4 linked regions of the Arabidopsis thaliana genome follow. The protein of the gene in region 4 interacts with the protein of the main gene of each other region in a pairwise test. Each region holds a gene or a part of one and is shown on either strand. Other genes may lie near its edges.

The links.
Region 1: the proteins of WRKY60 (region 4) and AHP2 interact in binary tests that used the Arabidopsis thaliana proteins (3 or more experiments, as listed by UniProt).
Region 2: the proteins of WRKY60 (region 4) and AT5G52650 interact in binary tests that used the Arabidopsis thaliana proteins (3 or more experiments, as listed by UniProt).
Region 3: the proteins of WRKY60 (region 4) and HSFC1 interact in binary tests that used the Arabidopsis thaliana proteins (3 or more experiments, as listed by UniProt).

What each region holds. Positions count from the first base shown.
Region 1 is NC_003074.8:11,263,598-11,267,301, forward strand, and holds AHP2 (histidine-containing phosphotransmitter 2), read right to left. Parts: upstream 1,966-3,704; 5' UTR 1,812-1,965; coding exon 1,746-1,811; intron 1,527-1,745; coding exon 1,396-1,526; intron 1,316-1,395; coding exon 1,244-1,315; intron 1,161-1,243; coding exon 1,089-1,160; coding exon of another isoform or gene 1,085-1,088; exon of another isoform or gene 1,034-1,084; intron 1,021-1,033; coding exon 948-1,020; intron 839-947; coding exon 782-838; 3' UTR 529-781; downstream 1-528. UniProt on the Arabidopsis thaliana protein: Functions as a two-component phosphorelay mediators between cytokinin sensor histidine kinases and response regulator (B-type ARRs). Plays an important role in propagating cytokinin signal transduction through the multistep His-to-Asp phosphorelay.
Region 2 is NC_003076.8:21,354,980-21,359,205, forward strand, and holds AT5G52650 (RNA binding Plectin/S10 domain-containing protein), read right to left. Parts: upstream 2,241-4,226; 5' UTR 2,025-2,240; coding exon 2,022-2,024; intron 1,908-2,021; coding exon 1,859-1,907; intron 1,661-1,858; coding exon 1,381-1,660; intron 1,287-1,380; coding exon 1,154-1,286; intron 877-1,153; coding exon 802-876; 3' UTR 562-801; downstream 1-561. Other genes in the region: HSP90.1 (heat shock-like protein), read left to right, coding at 1-168; AT5G52655 (uncharacterized protein), read left to right, coding at 2,827-2,829, 2,913-2,994, 3,083-3,246.
Region 3 is NC_003074.8:8,939,330-8,943,424, reverse strand, and holds HSFC1 (heat shock transcription factor C1), read right to left. Parts: upstream 2,360-4,095; 5' UTR 1,971-2,359; coding exon 1,743-1,970; intron 1,714-1,742; exon of another isoform or gene 1,659-1,713; coding exon 894-1,658; 3' UTR 551-893; downstream 1-550. UniProt on the Arabidopsis thaliana protein: Transcriptional regulator that specifically binds DNA sequence 5'-AGAAnnTTCT-3' known as heat shock promoter elements (HSE).
Region 4 is NC_003071.7:10,627,641-10,631,950, forward strand, and holds WRKY60 (WRKY DNA-binding protein 60), read left to right. Parts: upstream 1-2,021; 5' UTR 2,022-2,171; coding exon 2,172-2,228; exon of another isoform or gene 2,229-2,322; coding exon 2,323-2,385; exon of another isoform or gene 2,386-2,589; coding exon 2,590-2,898; intron 2,899-2,981; coding exon 2,982-3,098; intron 3,099-3,185; coding exon 3,186-3,455; 3' UTR 3,456-3,773; downstream 3,774-4,310. Other genes in the region: AT2G24990 (Serine/threonine-protein kinase Rio1), read left to right, coding at 1-32, 113-184, 276-659; AT2G25010 (Aminotransferase-like, plant mobile domain family protein), read left to right, coding at 4,051-4,134, 4,211-4,310. UniProt on the Arabidopsis thaliana protein: Transcription factor. Interacts specifically with the W box (5'-(T)TGAC[CT]-3'), a frequently occurring elicitor-responsive cis-acting element.

The sequences.
Region 1 (3,704 bases), on a different chromosome or scaffold from region 4:
AATATTTCGTCTTAAGGTCGATTGACGACATCGAAAAAAAGAATTTGTGTCTCAATTTGCTTAGTCAACAAGAATTTGTGATTAATTTGAAAGTCAACATAAAATTAAAGATTTAATTCACCAGATCCAAAGTTCATGATTTAAACCAACGAAAATGGTAAAGTGATGATTTAAATGACATTTTCCCCGTTTATTAACTACATGCTCCGTAATCTCGTCGAAAGCGGTTTGTGATTTATCCTGAAAGAATTACCATATTTTCTTAGAATGTCCATTTCGGATATCGAATGGGTAATGGTTTAGATTTAGGTTTTAGGGTTTACGATATTCATATTCTGATAAGGAGACAGGTTGTAAAAATTTGGAAAGTCACTACCAAACTTTTACTAATTTGAGTAAAGGTCAACTTCGAGACAAATAATTCAGATAATTACGAAAACATTATGGGCAAATTTGGGAAACTAAAAGATCTAAACACACAATTTTTAGAAGCACCCACTAGTCAAGACTTACTTAGTAATCACTATATCTTACTCAAACCAAACCTTTCAGAAGCAAACCAATATATATTATCATCACATTCATTAGTCCAATGGTTTCAATTTTCTCGGATGAGATCAAACAATACATACTACTGATTTATAAACAACCATCACTTGTTTTTGTTTCTTTTTGCACATATTTTATTGAGTTTTTGAGCAAACACCAAATCCAAAATAATTTAGAAGAGAAACTAAAGAAAGAAAGTCATCATCTTTTTTCTTCTTATGGACTAGTCTCTTTAGTTAATATCCACTTGAGGAACTATACCACCAGCTTGAATGATCTGTTTCTCAAGCTGAAACAACAACAACAACAACAATGTCAATGATTTGTTCATTACTCATAACCAAAATGATTCATTAAAAGCAGAGCCAAAAACAGAGATGGATTCTATTCACACTCACATTGAACATATCTTGAAGCTTTGTCTTTAACGCCTTGTACTCAATATCCACTTGCTGCAAACATCTCACACACCTGTAACATAACATGAGACTATTATTACTCAACCAATGAGTCCCAAGAGAAAACCATAACTCGCTTACCCTTCGTAGTTCTTAGCTTCACAACATTCCTTGAAGCTAACACACAAAGTTTTGACCCTCTTGGCACCAACACTACATAGAAACAACACAAAGCTTTTCATCAATCAACAACACACAACTTCTGCTACTTATATAAAGCGAGACATGATACATACCTTGAGCTACTACCCTTCAATTGATGCACACTAGCACCTACCTGACTAAAATCTACAGTTCCTGTCGTGTCCCTGAAATAGAAGTAGCCACAATCACACTTTAAGACAACACAAGCAATGATGATCTAGCTGAGAGAATATCAAAAACTTACAAAGCTCTAGCCATGTTACTGATAAGCTTCACACAATCTTCAAAGAAAAGTGAAAGCACTTCAGACACAAAATCAGGACTTCCATCATCTTGTAGCTTTTTCAACTCAGTAAATTGATCATCCAAAAACCCCTTCACATAAAAAAAACACAAACCCATGAATCTAAAGTTCCAACCTTTACACAACTCAAATCCCTAAAAATCATAACTTGTAAAAATCTACATAAAGATTCAATCTTTCTTCACTTTTGTCATGAATCTATGCATATAGGAGTCAATCTAGTGTGTATATGAGCTAAATTAGCTAAGCAAAGAGATGAAATTGGGTTTGAAGAATTGTGGAATTGAAACCTGTTGGTAGAGAGAAATGGTGTAATCACGAAATTGTCTCTGAAGCTGAGCAATGAGAGCGTCCATGAGAAGAGTGAAGCGGAGATTGGGAGAGGATTTTTTTGTTTGGACTTTGATTATTGACTTGGATTTCTGGAAATAGCCAATCCCAAGAAGAAGAAACTTGTGTTTTGTCTTTCTCGCGAATTGTAACGCTGCTACCAGATTTTTTTACTTTAAATGGGAAACAATAATTAAAAGAGAAACACACAAATATTTGGACATTTTTATGTATTTATTTATTTGGGTGAAAAAAATTAAATAGAGAATTTTCATAATTAACATAATTTTAAAGTTTTTTTTGATAAAAATACCATTCAAAAGTTTTGTGAACATAAATAACACTCAAATAATTATTTAATTTTTAATTATTACAACTAACATTTAAAAAAATACAAAAATTCATACCAAAAATTTTCAACAATATTTTTCTACAAAATAATTTCCGTCAAAATTTTTCCACCAAAAATAATTACGCCGCCCACATTTTACCTACAAAAAAAAATTCAGAATTTTTTTTACAAAATATAGGAAAGATTTTAAGCAATTCAGGAAAGGTTTCACGAAATTTATAATTTTTTTCTTTTGTAACCCTTCCTGAATTTTGTAGAATTTTTCCTGAATTCCCGAATTTTTCTTTTTCGAAATTCAGGAAGAATTTTACGAAAATTTTTTTTGTAAAATCTTTCCTGAATTCCGTGAAATCCTCACGAATGTCGTAGTTAGCTTCCTCAAGTTTTTTTACAAGAAAAATTTGACGGAAAATTTTTTTTGCGGGAAAATTTATTACCGAATTGTTTTGGCAGAAAATTTGACGAAAAATTTTTAGCGGAAAATTTTTATTTTTATTTATTTAAATAAAATTAATTATTTATATTTAATATTTAATTAAAATTTTGAAAGCTACTTGTGAAATTTTTCAAAAAGTTGTTATTTTTGGAAGAAAAAATTTTGTTGGTGCTATTTTTGTCAATCCCAATTAAATATTTTTTTTTTGGGAAACATTTGGATTCAATACAAGTTTTTAAGTAAATTATTGGTATTTGGTTAATTAATAAAAACTCTTTTTCTGAAAAATATAATATGAAACACTCATTTAATAATATTAAATCTAATTTAATTTTCTTATATAAAAGAAAAATATCAATCTTATGTTTCGATTTACTTGGAAAAATTAAAGTATTTGACATTATATTTTCTTTTCAAAGACCCAAAAAAAAAAAAAAAAAATTGCAACTTATTATTTCGATATTTTTAAATTACAATTAGACTAACCATTTAAAAGAAAATTTTGTGTATAAGATTTTTAATATTATTCACATATAGTTTTTTATGGTATCAGAGCTATATGTGATATGGTAAACTATTCACATTACAGATTGGAATACTCACCCAAGTTATGTAGCCAACTTCGGTGTGCGTACCTAAAAGGTTAATATGTGGTCACTAGTACTGTAAGGAATGCCTCTACGAATGGATTTATGCATATTTACTTAAACAAAAAATACCAATCGCAATGAGAGACATACAAAAACATAAAGCTTTAAATATGGAATCGTTAGGTGTCACTCAGAAATCAGAATCTCCAACCTGGAAACTTTTACAAGATGCGTTTGGTTCCTAATCCACCAGAGAAGAGATATCATGTGATTCTCTATGAACAATGTGCAAATATTCTTCCGAGTCAACTCTCGCAGACAAAGCTCAATAAGTGGCAAAACTTTCAACGATTAACTACAAAGTACAAACACATTTTACTCCAATATAAACCAATATTTATTTAGTTTCTAAGGAAACAACAAAATTGAAGCGACATTGTCGAATACAAGTCCTCTTCGACCAAAAAAATATGAAAGTAATACCAAAAAAAACAAAACACACACCAGAGAACATAACAAACATATTGTAAGAAATATAACA
Region 2 (4,226 bases), on a different chromosome or scaffold from region 4:
ACGTCTGGATTCAGTCTTGATGAACCGAACACTTTTGCTGCTAGGATTCACAGGATGTTGAAGTTGGGTCTGAGTATTGATGAGGATGAGAACGTTGAGGAAGATGGTGATATGCCTGAGTTGGAGGAGGACGCTGCTGAAGAGAGCAAGATGGAGGAAGTCGACTAAGAGATGAAGAAATTGCTCTTATGGTTCTGAAAACTTCTAATATGTCGAGTTGTTCTGAGTTTTAAGATTTTCCAAAATGTCTTTGTCTTTTTTTTTATATCTTTAGAGTTACTTGAACATTGTGACTACTTCTAGGGTTGGGTTTGTGTCAGGTCTGTTATATCGTGTGGTGGGTCTGTCTAATACTGATTCAAGTTTTTGTTATTCAGCTAAGGAACTTTTCTTGTTTCTGAACAAATCTTTTGGTTCCCTAGAGTAAAACTTGACTTCCAAAAGATAGACTTCCTAAGATCACTGGAATAGATAGGAGTGACAACTTGACGTGAAAGGTAGCTTGGCTATAGTAATTTTAGATCTGACAAAACGAGATCAAGAAGTTAATAATTTTCACAACACCAATTTGTTATCGCTTAAAGGTTGATTGATTTGTTCAATAGGGGGAATCATATTCTCGCATGCTCGAAAAGGGGAGAGAAGATGGAATGAACATAACTTTAAATCGGATGTTTGATTCAACAACAAAACTAAACTCAGATAGAGATTATGAAGGATTCCGGAATCTGAATTACAAAAGCAAAATTTAAAGCTGAAAACTCCTCCATGGTCTTACTGTCACCTAAAGACATTTCTTTTTCAAGGCAAACCTGAACCAGATGGTGCAGCTGCGCTGTAGCCACCAGCACCACGGCCAAAACCACGGCCACTTCCCTGATAAACAAGAAAGGATGTTAGAACAATGGCAACCAAACAAAGAGAAGGCGGGTAAATCAAATCACAAGGCAATTATATAACTATAGACTTTGAAACACTTCACAGCTAAAGTAAAAGATTTATGTTCCTTGTAACTAAAGTGATAAAGAGAGACTAAATATGTTCATGGTTTCTCAGGTTCAGGAGCTCTATGATAAAGACTTCAAGAGTAGCACATTATATGACGTTGGTGAGATAGAGAAGTAAATAGAAGGTATGGTCAGTGAGAATTTACTTGGAAAGATGGCTGGTAATCTGCGGGAGCTCCACCCTTTTCACCTCCAAACTCACCACCAGCTCGAGGACCTGCACGGTACCCATCACGGTCACCAAACCTGGGACGGTCTCCTCCTTCATGGCGAGGTCCTCTGAAATACAAAGAAACCCAAACCATGTCAAACAAATTAAAAAAAAAAAAAGTTTTTGCCAGACATGAAATGGGTTAAGCAAAGAGTTAATCACCTTGAGCGATCACCAGGTGGGCCACCAAATGGACGACCACCAGGCTTAGCTGACTTCTTCAAAGTAGCAGGAACAACATCAGATGGAAGATTAAGATAAGTTCTCAAGAACTCGATCCCTTCATTGGTCAAAAACCAATAGTAATGCATCCAGGCAAATGTCTCCCTAACATACTCCTTGGATTTGAAACTCTGCATAAGCTTAATCACTTGTAGGTTGGGGACATCGATCAACGGATGCTTAGCAAGATTGAAATCCTTCTTCGCAAAGCAAACTCCTTCTGCAAAAATCATAGAACATATGATAATCAACACAATGTTCACCTTCTAAGCCAAACATCATAATTGCTACCATAACTAGTTAACCTAAACTAGTTCAAAAATCACAATGTTCATCGGCATAAGCCTAAAAATGAATCAATTTACTCACAGAAGCTGAAGAAAACAGAGATCTAAGAACAAATTTAAGAAGAACGAACCTTTGAAGAGGTACTTGCAGATTTCTTTGCGGTTAGCCTCTGAGATAATCTGAGAGCAAGAAGGAAGAAGAAAATGGTCAAAATTCAACGAAACAACATTCTGAGACACCGGAGAATATGATGAGAATAGAGAAATAGATCAAAAGCAGAGCTTGTGTGTTACCATTGTATCGGTAGGAGATCTTGCTCGAGCAGAGAGTCGCACGGAACTTCGAGAGAGCAAAAAACTAGGGTTTTCGCAGGACTAGAGAAGACGATGACTTTATATGCTTTGTTTTGGGCCTATAATGAGTTCATTAAATATGGGCCTTAAGTTTGGGCAGTATCGGAGACTGAGAAACTCAAAATGATCTTGTCGAATTGAATTAAGAATTGGGGGTTTATCAAATTATTTGATGATAACTATATTTAATATTTTATTAACCAATACTTACACTCGTTGTATTTATATTTACGATGGTTTATCCTCTCTTTTTTGAAAAGTTTATATCTTGTAAATTTTGTGACATACGTTTAAATATTATTTACTATAACTTTGATTTTTTTTTTTTTTTTACTATAACTTTGATTACTTTATATATTTTTATCAGATTAGTTAATTCTATAAATTAACATATATTTTTATTAATTACATATATTATCTTGTTAAAATAATTTCCAGTTTAATTAATTTATTTGCTCCATATTGTAACAAAAAAATCTTTGAGAGATAAATGTATTTTTGTGTTGTTTCAACAAAAAAAAAAAGAAGATAAATCTATTTTTGTGTCAAAAATTTGTTATGAGAAATTGTGACATATGTCGAAAGAGATTGTGAAATTGAGAGATAAATGTACTTTTATAGATTATTTAACAAAAAAAATCAATTTTCAGTAATATATATAGAGGTTGATGAGCAAGCGAGTTTGTAATCACATTCTTGTCCATCATCTTCTCTTCTCCTTCCAAACTTTTGAGTTTTTCAAAAAATGGTTAGTTATTTTTCTTAGTAAACCTATTTATGTGGTTATATAATAAATTCACTAAAGCTTTAGTTTTATTTCATTGTTTGTAGTCGATGACGATTGTATTCAAGCATCCAGGATATCCCGAAAAAAAATGGCGAAAAGGATTCAAAATTGCAGGTGGTTTTCCAGGTACAAACCTACACACACCCAACAATTATATTCAACAAACGAATTTTGAACAATGTGAATGATTGTCATCTTTTTATTATTATATTAGGAGTTGATGTCATAAGTTGTGGTATCATGGACGACGTATTTGCAGTGAAGGGAGAAAATATTGATCAAGATAAGTTACTGGAGAAAATAAAAAAGGTTTTAAAATCTGTCGAAATCATTGATCACACCAAATACCCTCCGGATTATTTTTTCTATGATTTCTAATAATGATGTTTATTTTTCTTTGGGCAAATAATGATGTTCATTTATGTTTTCATATTCTATCAAAGTAATTGGATTTGGTGTAAGTCTTAAGATATATTAGTCCATTCTTATAAGTTGTAAGTTATAAACTTTTTGTTCAAGAAGATTGATTTTCCTTGGATGCATAGTCGAGAGTATGCCACTAAAAATAGCTTAACCATATTGGTCTACACTGTCACCTTATTTCTTCCTCTATAAACGAATTAAAACGAAAGCATACAACGCTATTATGAGATTTGATTTGGTCTCCCATCAAAGAGACAGATACATACTTTAACAAAAGCTCAAAACAAATTTGAGAGAGGGAATGGTATATGATTACAATTCTTGTTTAAAATATGATTAATAACTTCTTCTAGAAAATGTTTTATATGCAAACCAGTCAAACCATCATTTGATTTACATCTATTTAGAAATGTATTTATCTATTTCATCACTAAGAATGTGTTTTATCACCACCTCCAAAATGTGTTTACAAACAAATGAAGCCAACTACAAATTATTGATCTTGAAATCTGTCGAAATCATTGATCACACTGAATACCCTGCAAATTATTTTTTTTATGATCTCTAATAATGATGTTTATTTTTATTTTTTACTTTTATTTTTCTGAGGCAAGTAATGATGTTTATTTATGTTTTCATATTCTATAAAAAAAATAATTGGATTTGGTGTAAGTCTTAAGATATGATCAAATTAAAATATATATTAGTCCATTCTTTATAAGTTATAACCTTTTGATCAAGAAGATTTGATATTCCTTGGATGCATCTTTTCTTATAGTCGAGAGTATGCCACTAAAAATAGTTTATCCATATTGTTATACAAATGGTCACAGTCACCTTATTTCTTCCTCTATAAACGAATGAAAACGAAAGCAAAGACAACTCTATTAAGAGATTTTGGTCTCCCATCAAAGAGACTGATACATATGTTTAAA
Region 3 (4,095 bases), on a different chromosome or scaffold from region 4:
ATTATCTGGTATAACCACGCGTCCTCGTGTGAGAGACATCAGGTGGTCCAATTTAGATTTATCGTTGTTTTATACTCTCTCTCTCTCTAGCCCAATGAGTGTTCGAAACGTTGTTGGCCGACCAAAGTCCCGTGGCTAACTGTCACGTCTCAAAATTTAACAATGTCATGTTATCAATTTTAGATGAAAGTGAAAGTGGAGCGTCGTGTTGATGATACGTTTGAATCTTGAATGGATGTCTCGTTGACTTGTTATCAGTCGACCGACTTGTGTCGCCTTAACCACGTGGGTTATATATAGGCAATGTTTCTTCTACTTTATGATCAGCTTTAAGCATGTGGGTTATATAAGCTAGTAAGTCTATATACCATGTCAACTGATTCGTTAATGTGTTTGAGAACAAGTGTTTCAAGAGAAAGAGTCAAATACTCGATATGGTTTAGTTTAAAGATGGCCATTAACGATAAATTTGAAATGGTATATAGACTTAATTACTAGCTTAAAGTGGAAAAAGTAAAGCCTATATTTTGTTGTTATTACAAAGATATAAGGCTACAATAATACTTTATTCAAAAATCAAAACACTGAAGTAGTGAAGAAGATCAAAATTGTTGTTATTACAAGTGTGAATATATTACACAAGTCACCTGAAAGTACTTTTAAAAGGAAAACAAAGTCAACATATGAACTTTTAACAAATATAATCAGAAATTATATACTGTCAAAACTTTCTACAAACGATGACTACTGACTCAACTATGGATCTGTCCTTATTTTCTTTCTTTCTTTTGGTTATACATAAAATAATTAAGAACAAACACACAAAAAATAAATAATAATAATAATATAACAATAATAAAGTCTAAAGATCATATATCATGTGAAGCTAAACGCTAAAAGCCACCTCGAAACAGAGAAAATGGATAAGGCGGTGTTGTTGGTGGATTTGACTCTACCACTCCTCCAAACGTCGCCGTTTCTTTATACCTTCTTTCTCCCTGAATACTCCCACATCCTCCTCCTCCTCCTCCGTTAACACTCTCCGGCAAAGAAAACGTCGACGTCAAAGATGATGACGTCGACGACGTTGAATTCGAGAGCATCGACTTCGCCACCAAACCCGTCTCGTAACTACCAAACTGTCCTTGCGTCATAGGAACAATCCACCCATCCGGTGAATGATTCCGGTAAAGATTCTCCGTTGATGACGGCGACGGTGTTGATGATGACATAACCCTAAAGACCCTCCCTTCATCTTCTTCCACTTCTTCTTCCTCTGACTTCACCGTCGACATCGTGACACGACGCTTCTTCTTGTCGGAAACTTGTTGTTGTTGCTTTGTCCGTTCTTTCTCGAGCATCATTCTTGGAAGAAGATCAGGATCTTCAACGACTTTGTAAAGAAACGCCATCATCTGCTCCGGTCTCTTCTCCGTCGCTTCGATCCTCCGGTTCATCCTCTGAATCTCTGCCTCTAGCTCCCTCTGCTCTTCTTTTAACCGTTCGATCTCCCTCACAATCTCACCGTCCTCCAAATCTTGACCGTACATCCCCCGCGCGTGTTTCCTACGCGCTATGTTATTCAACAAATGCTTCTGTCCCCTTAGAAAATGCTCGTTCGCAAACTCCCACCGGTCCGGATCCACTTTCCTAAACCCCTAAAGTAAATAAAGAAAGGATCATTAGTTCGTAATCCCCTGTTTCCAGTTTCATGTATGAGTTTCGGTTATGAATTAACTTACATAGGTGTTGAGTTGACGAACAAAACTGCTGAAATTGTTGTGTTTGAAATAAGCAGGTAAGATTCGTTGCGAGAAGTCGAGTGGATCAACGACTATGAAACTGTTGTGAGCAGGTCCCCAAGTGATGAGCCAATCGGTGGAAGGATCATTGACCATCTGATATGTTTTCACGATGAAAGGTGCGATCACGTTGTTGTTGTTGTTGTTGTTACTATTGTCGTCCTCCATCTCTCTCTTTCTCTGTTTTCCTTATGGTTTATATGTTTGTTGTTGGTGGTGGTAAAGAAATTAAAGAGGAGCCTGGAGGGTTTATATAAAGATAGGAAAATGAGATGTGAAAATAGTAAGTTAAGTGTAGTTGACAGTGAGACTATATTGACGTGGCTTGCTTTTTGTGATAACGTGGCGGGTTCGTGTTTTGCCTTTTACGGTGTCACGAGTGAACTGTGGGACCTATGCAGGTGTGCCTCTAAGCTTTCAGGTCTTTTTTGCCCTTTTTGTTTTGTTTATATTTTCTTATGTCACAAGTTATGTGATACATTTGAAATATATGCATATTTAGGCATTGTTTTTTCTTAATTATAATTTTAAGTCATAGATGATTTAAGCTGCTTGACTAATTCTAAGGGTAAGCTAGTCCCAATATAGAAAGCTTAGTCCATCGATTTTTCAACTGGTTTCCGATCCCGAATTAGAAGGATATCTATGATTCATTTGTAATTTCTGCACAAACAAAATTATTTGTCATGATTTCTTTCTAATTCTTGACATGATTTGTTTCTTTCACTTTTTCACAAAAGAACCTCGTCCTCTTCAAAATACTCCAAAACTCTCAAGAGTGAGAGCAACTTATAAAAAAAAAACACATTTGGTGAAACAAACAAATCTTCTACAATGAATAGAGAGGGTATAATTTAATTTATTATATTATAATTTTTCTTTAGTTTACAATTATGTTAAAAAACGTTAGAAGGAACATGCTGTGTATTCAGATTTTAACTTAAAATATCCGACTAATTTAAAATAAAAAATTGCAAACAATAACACTAAATGCCAAGTAAACATGATTTTATAGACAAACTCTTCAATCTGCAAAAGCACTCCTATTTTCTTATACATACATATCCATGGACTCTGGAATAAATAGCCACACAAGTGTTGCTACTTGCAAGAGTTATTATAGGAGTATTATTAAACAATGATTAACATAAACTACTACAAATATAATTGCTAGGTTAAGAATTAAAACCAATAAGTTCCAATAAAAAATCACACGCATCAAAGGCATTACTATTTTATAGTTTAAACCACCACCGAGAAATCCAATAGCAATCTTATATAAAATTTTCCTAATTATTAATTGGATAGATTAATGGGATTAATCTAGACTTAATTAAGGGGACGTGGGTCAAATGCTAACCACATATTACGTATGATATAATAATATAAATAGTTTGAATAAAACAACATTTATAGAATCAAAGCATGGTCCTTAATCCTTGAGAGCCTTGGAGATAATGACCTCCTCGTATAGGCGAGAGTACAGTTCTCCACTTTTCATTTTTTTAATTGTTGTCTCCTCTCTTTGTTTTTCTTAAACTATAATTTACCTTTTCAATCGAATCTTAATTACAACTTTATTTGAACAATATATATATTACTCTCATCGCCAAATGGGATTAGCTATAATCCACAAGCTATAGCTTTTGTTTGTTTAATTACGTACTATCAGTAGTACAATTTCAAAACCTAAGGACAATTTTGATTTTTATGGGATACTTGAAATTATTAGTCAAGATTGATAGGTTTAATTACTTACTACGACAAAATTTTCCAAACTAATATATGTTTTTATTAAAATTAGCGCTTTGTCAACCTACAATTAAATTTATCTATTTCGATTATTATCAGTTACATAAATTGAGAGGACGATAAAAAAGTATTTTGAGACATCTCTTCCCCACCTTATAATTTTTGTTGTCCATAGCGAAATAAAGGAGAACAAGAGATAGTGTAACAGTGAGACGGTGACGTGGTATGCTTTGTAATAACGTGGCAAATTCGTGTTTGCTTTTTACATGCAGGTGCCACAAAGCCTTAGGTCAATTAGCTTTTCTTAGATGGCAAGTTATTAGTCCGAGCCGTTGTGTATTTGTGTGAGATGTTTTCAAGAGACGACGAGCGTGTGGGTGCTTGGATACTGACATGGTCCGCACTGGTTAGTGACGGAGGAACTCAGGAACAAGTACTGATTCGACACGTTGCGTAGAATCTTTTTTGTTGGCGATGCACACTCCACTAATCGAGTATTTTTGTATTTATGGAAAGTTTATTCATTATACGTTGCTTAATT
Region 4 (4,310 bases):
CAGACGAAAATGTTGATAGCTATTTGGAAGAGGTAATGTATGACTTTTTATATGGATTGTCCATTGAATCAGTGGGCAGCTTTAAATTAATGAATTATGTAACAATGGGCAGGTCCAACGAAAAGTTATAGAGCGAGGAGAGATATCCGTAGAGGATGAAATCGCGGATTCAGTATTCATGAAGGTTAGTTAAGAGTGTATCCAGTTGTGTGAACTGATATGTGAAGTTGTCTGTAGAATAATCTTAATCTTACTGGTTTGTTATTGATGTTCAGTCATACATACCGAAATCTCTGGATGCTGTGAACAACCCTGAGGCTGACGTGGCTAAGATAACAAGCGGGCAGGACACAGGAGACATGCTATACCAAACGATAACGGGGCTTAAGGATGCTCTTCCTAAAATAGAAGAGCAGAAAATAGAGGTGAATGATGAAGAGAAAGAAGAGGAAGGAGAGGAAGAAGAAGACGGAGAAAGTGAAGAAGGAAGTGAGGAAGAAGAGAGTGAAGAAGAATTGGGTCATGAAGACAAGAAAGCTGCAAGGAAAGAGCACAAGAAGAAAGTGAAAGAGGAGAAACGAGAGTCTAGGAAGACGAAGACACCCAAATCTGTCAAGAAGCGAAAGAAGAAAGTCTCTAAACCACACAAGACTCGTTAATCCGAGTTAGAAGTTTTGACACCCCAACTTGTATTTTTATTTATATTTTGAAATTTTGTGTCAAATTCTGGGAAATCGAGTATGGACCCAAAGCTCTCTATATTTCCAAAAATAGCAAGTTCTTGTAATATTCATAGTATGACTTTATTATAGAGCCCGAAATTGGTTTGCTGCTGTTTCAAGAATAGGATTCAAATTTCTGTTCCTTTCCTCACATCCCTAACCAACTTGACAATTCGAATAATGGTTGTGTCTAAATTTATCAACTCAAGTTTTGAGATTGTTGGCTTATAGTATGAAAATTCTAATCCTGCAACTAGTTTATTTACAACATTTTTTCTTTGTTTAATGAGTTCTTGATTTTATACAGTTTAGTGTTTATGAGCTTTTCTTCTTAAGCCTCTGTTTCCATAGTTTATATCTTAATACGTGTTTTCTCTTTCTTTTGGAGCTTTGATTATCTCTTTTAAACTATGTTTTCGAAGATATCTTTGTTTTCTGCCGGTTTTGTAAGATCGGAAAATATATTTTTATTTTATAATATTAATAAAAAAGATGACAAAACAAAAAATAATGATTTTCTTTCAAACTTAATGAACATAAAAAAAAGGGAAACGAAATCTTATTTTGCCTAGCTGACATAATTAACTAATGCAACTAAATGTAGGTAGGATTAAGTAAACAAAAATATGAGACAAAATTAAACATGCCAACCTCCAGGGCATAGTCAATGGGTCAAGTCAAGCGAAAGTTGGTCTGGATCTTACAATGCAACTTAATGTAAAGTACTCATTTTTCTTCGACATGGGACATCCGCCGAAATTGTTGATTTTTGATCCATCTTTACACTTGTTTTCTCCGATTACAACAAAACATAACAATTCGACTACGATTTAACACCTAACCTTTTTAATTTTTTAGGACACGCATTTAGTATTTACGATGCAAGCCAACAAATTTAATCCAACGTATTAAACACAACTTGCTTTTTGTCAATACGTATTAAATTAAATAGTTTTCTTGCAATTTTTGTTTACACATTTCATTAGTATTGTTTTTTTCCAATATTTTTGTTTCTATGTTCAATCACTATCATATGCATAATACACATTATAATTTTGGCACAATTAGAATTACACACAAGGATTTTATAAATGTTTTTAAAATGATTTACAAAAGATTTTATAAAAATTTTACAAAAGTTTTTAAAAGATTTAATAAAAGTTTTAAAACGATTTTACAAAGAGTTTTAAAAACTTTTAAAGGTTTTAAAGAAAGTTTATGAGAATTTACAAGAATTGTAAAAGATTTATAATAATTTTTTTAGAATTAGAAAGGAGACCCTCATTTTCCACCCAAATCGTCAACCTTCTCATAATTGACAAGTTATTACACTCTCTCCACTTACTAGTTACTATAAAACCAAAGGAGACCAAATCTCTTAGCAATTATGAATTTGGTCTTCGCTATAATCTCACGTTACATTAAATTGGCTCCTGTGAACCTAAATTTATGGACTATGATCCCAACACCAATCCGTTCGACCTTCATTTCTCCGGTAAACTTCCGGTGAGTTTTTCAATTTCTTCGAAAATTTCACTTCAATTTTCGAGGTTGTGGTGATTATTCGTGGTGTTCATATATATTTTATTGCCTGATTTAGAAAAGAGAAGTCTCGGCTTCAGCTTCTAAAGTTGTAGAGAAGAAATGGTTAGTGAAAGATGAGGTTAGTTCTTTCATCGAACACTTTGGTGTGCAATACTTTGACCTCAAAATTTTTGACTATGAGTGAATGGATTAGGTTGATCAAGTTCTCATATCTGATTTAGACATTGAATAGTTTGTTTAGATCGGTGATGCTCAAAAGTTGAACAAATCAAAGCTTTGTCTTACAGCTTAGTTTGGTAATGGTGATTTTCATTTTACACAGAAGAGAAATATGCTACAAGATGAAATAAACCGGGTTAATTCGGAGAACAAGAAGCTAACCGAAATGTTAGCAAGAGTCTGTGAGAAGTACTATGCTCTTAATAATCTTATGGAGGAGTTGCAGAGTCGAAAGAGTCCTGAAAGTGTTAACTTTCAGAACAAACAGCTAACGGGGAAACGAAAACAAGAACTTGATGAGTTTGTTAGCTCCCCAATTGGACTCAGTCTCGGACCAATCGAGAACATCACCAACGATAAAGCGACGGTTTCAACCGCTTACTTTGCTGCTGAGAAGTCTGACACAAGCTTGGTAAGGAGATTTCTACTACAAGTATCGTTCTTTGAGTGTATTGATTTGTTAACGAATGTTTTGTGGATATACGTTACTTGTAGACTGTGAAAGATGGATATCAATGGAGGAAATACGGGCAAAAGATTACGAGAGATAATCCATCTCCTAGAGCTTACTTCAGATGCTCGTTTTCACCGTCTTGTCTAGTCAAGAAGAAGGTACTTTGGTTTAAACTTTGTTAAAGAGTTCTTCGATATCATCTTGCTGTCTGATTAAATTCCCTAGTTGTGTGTGCGCTTGTTTAGGTGCAACGAAGTGCAGAAGATCCATCTTTCTTGGTAGCCACTTACGAAGGGACACATAACCACACCGGACCACATGCAAGTGTGTCCAGGACAGTGAAACTTGATCTAGTTCAAGGTGGGCTTGAACCAGTTGAGGAAAAGAAAGAGAGAGGGACGATTCAAGAGGTTTTGGTGCAACAAATGGCTTCTTCGTTGACCAAAGATCCTAAGTTCACTGCAGCTCTTGCGACTGCTATTTCCGGGAGATTGATAGAGCATTCAAGAACATGAAAGTTCTCTAGAACATGTATATTTCTGTTTTGTTCTATTTTGTTGCTCATTCCTAGTAAAAAGGTAAAGATTTGTTTGATCTTGATTAGGAGGCATAGATGTCAATTTTAATGTGTGTGTATATAATTACATCAAATCTAAGTATCCAAAAAGGGTCACCCCCATTTTATCTTATGTTGAAAGAGTTTTGTTATAGCTCGGTGTAAGTATGGTAGATTGACGCTGCTTCGACAGTTTATGTATCTTCCAATGTTATCTTGTTCAGTTGTTTGTATTAACTTCCATTAGAGAAGAATGTGATGCCATTACAGACATAAAAGAAACAGAGAAACCCGGAAACAGAGTAAAACCACGAAAAACAGAGTCGGTTTAAGAGAACCAAACCAAAATAACCGGTACAGCTATAAAAAGCCAAGAAGAAAAATTATGAACCGAGTCCAAATTAGGTTACGGTTAGCTTCCAATCCCAACTTCTTCTTCTTCTTCATCTGTGTTTAGTCCCAAATTGAAGAATCAAAAGTTTCGTGTTTTGAGAATTTGACAAAAATTTGTTTATGTAATCTTAGTTTTCGCTGATTTTGAGTAAGTTATCGACATGGATATTGATGTCGGACCAGTTGATCCATCTGTCCTATACGAGCAAGACCTCCATGTTTCTTCTGCTGTTTGGGAAGGACAGGTTTTTTTCTTAATTCCCTTGCTAAATTTCAGATTTTGAATTTAGGGTTAATCTTATTTCCCCTTACTTACCTTAGGAACGAGGTCTACTTCGTTGTCAAGAACACACTTCATTGCTACATCAATGGAAACTCACTGATGAACAAATTAACCTCGTGGACAAAGCTGGTTTCGGTT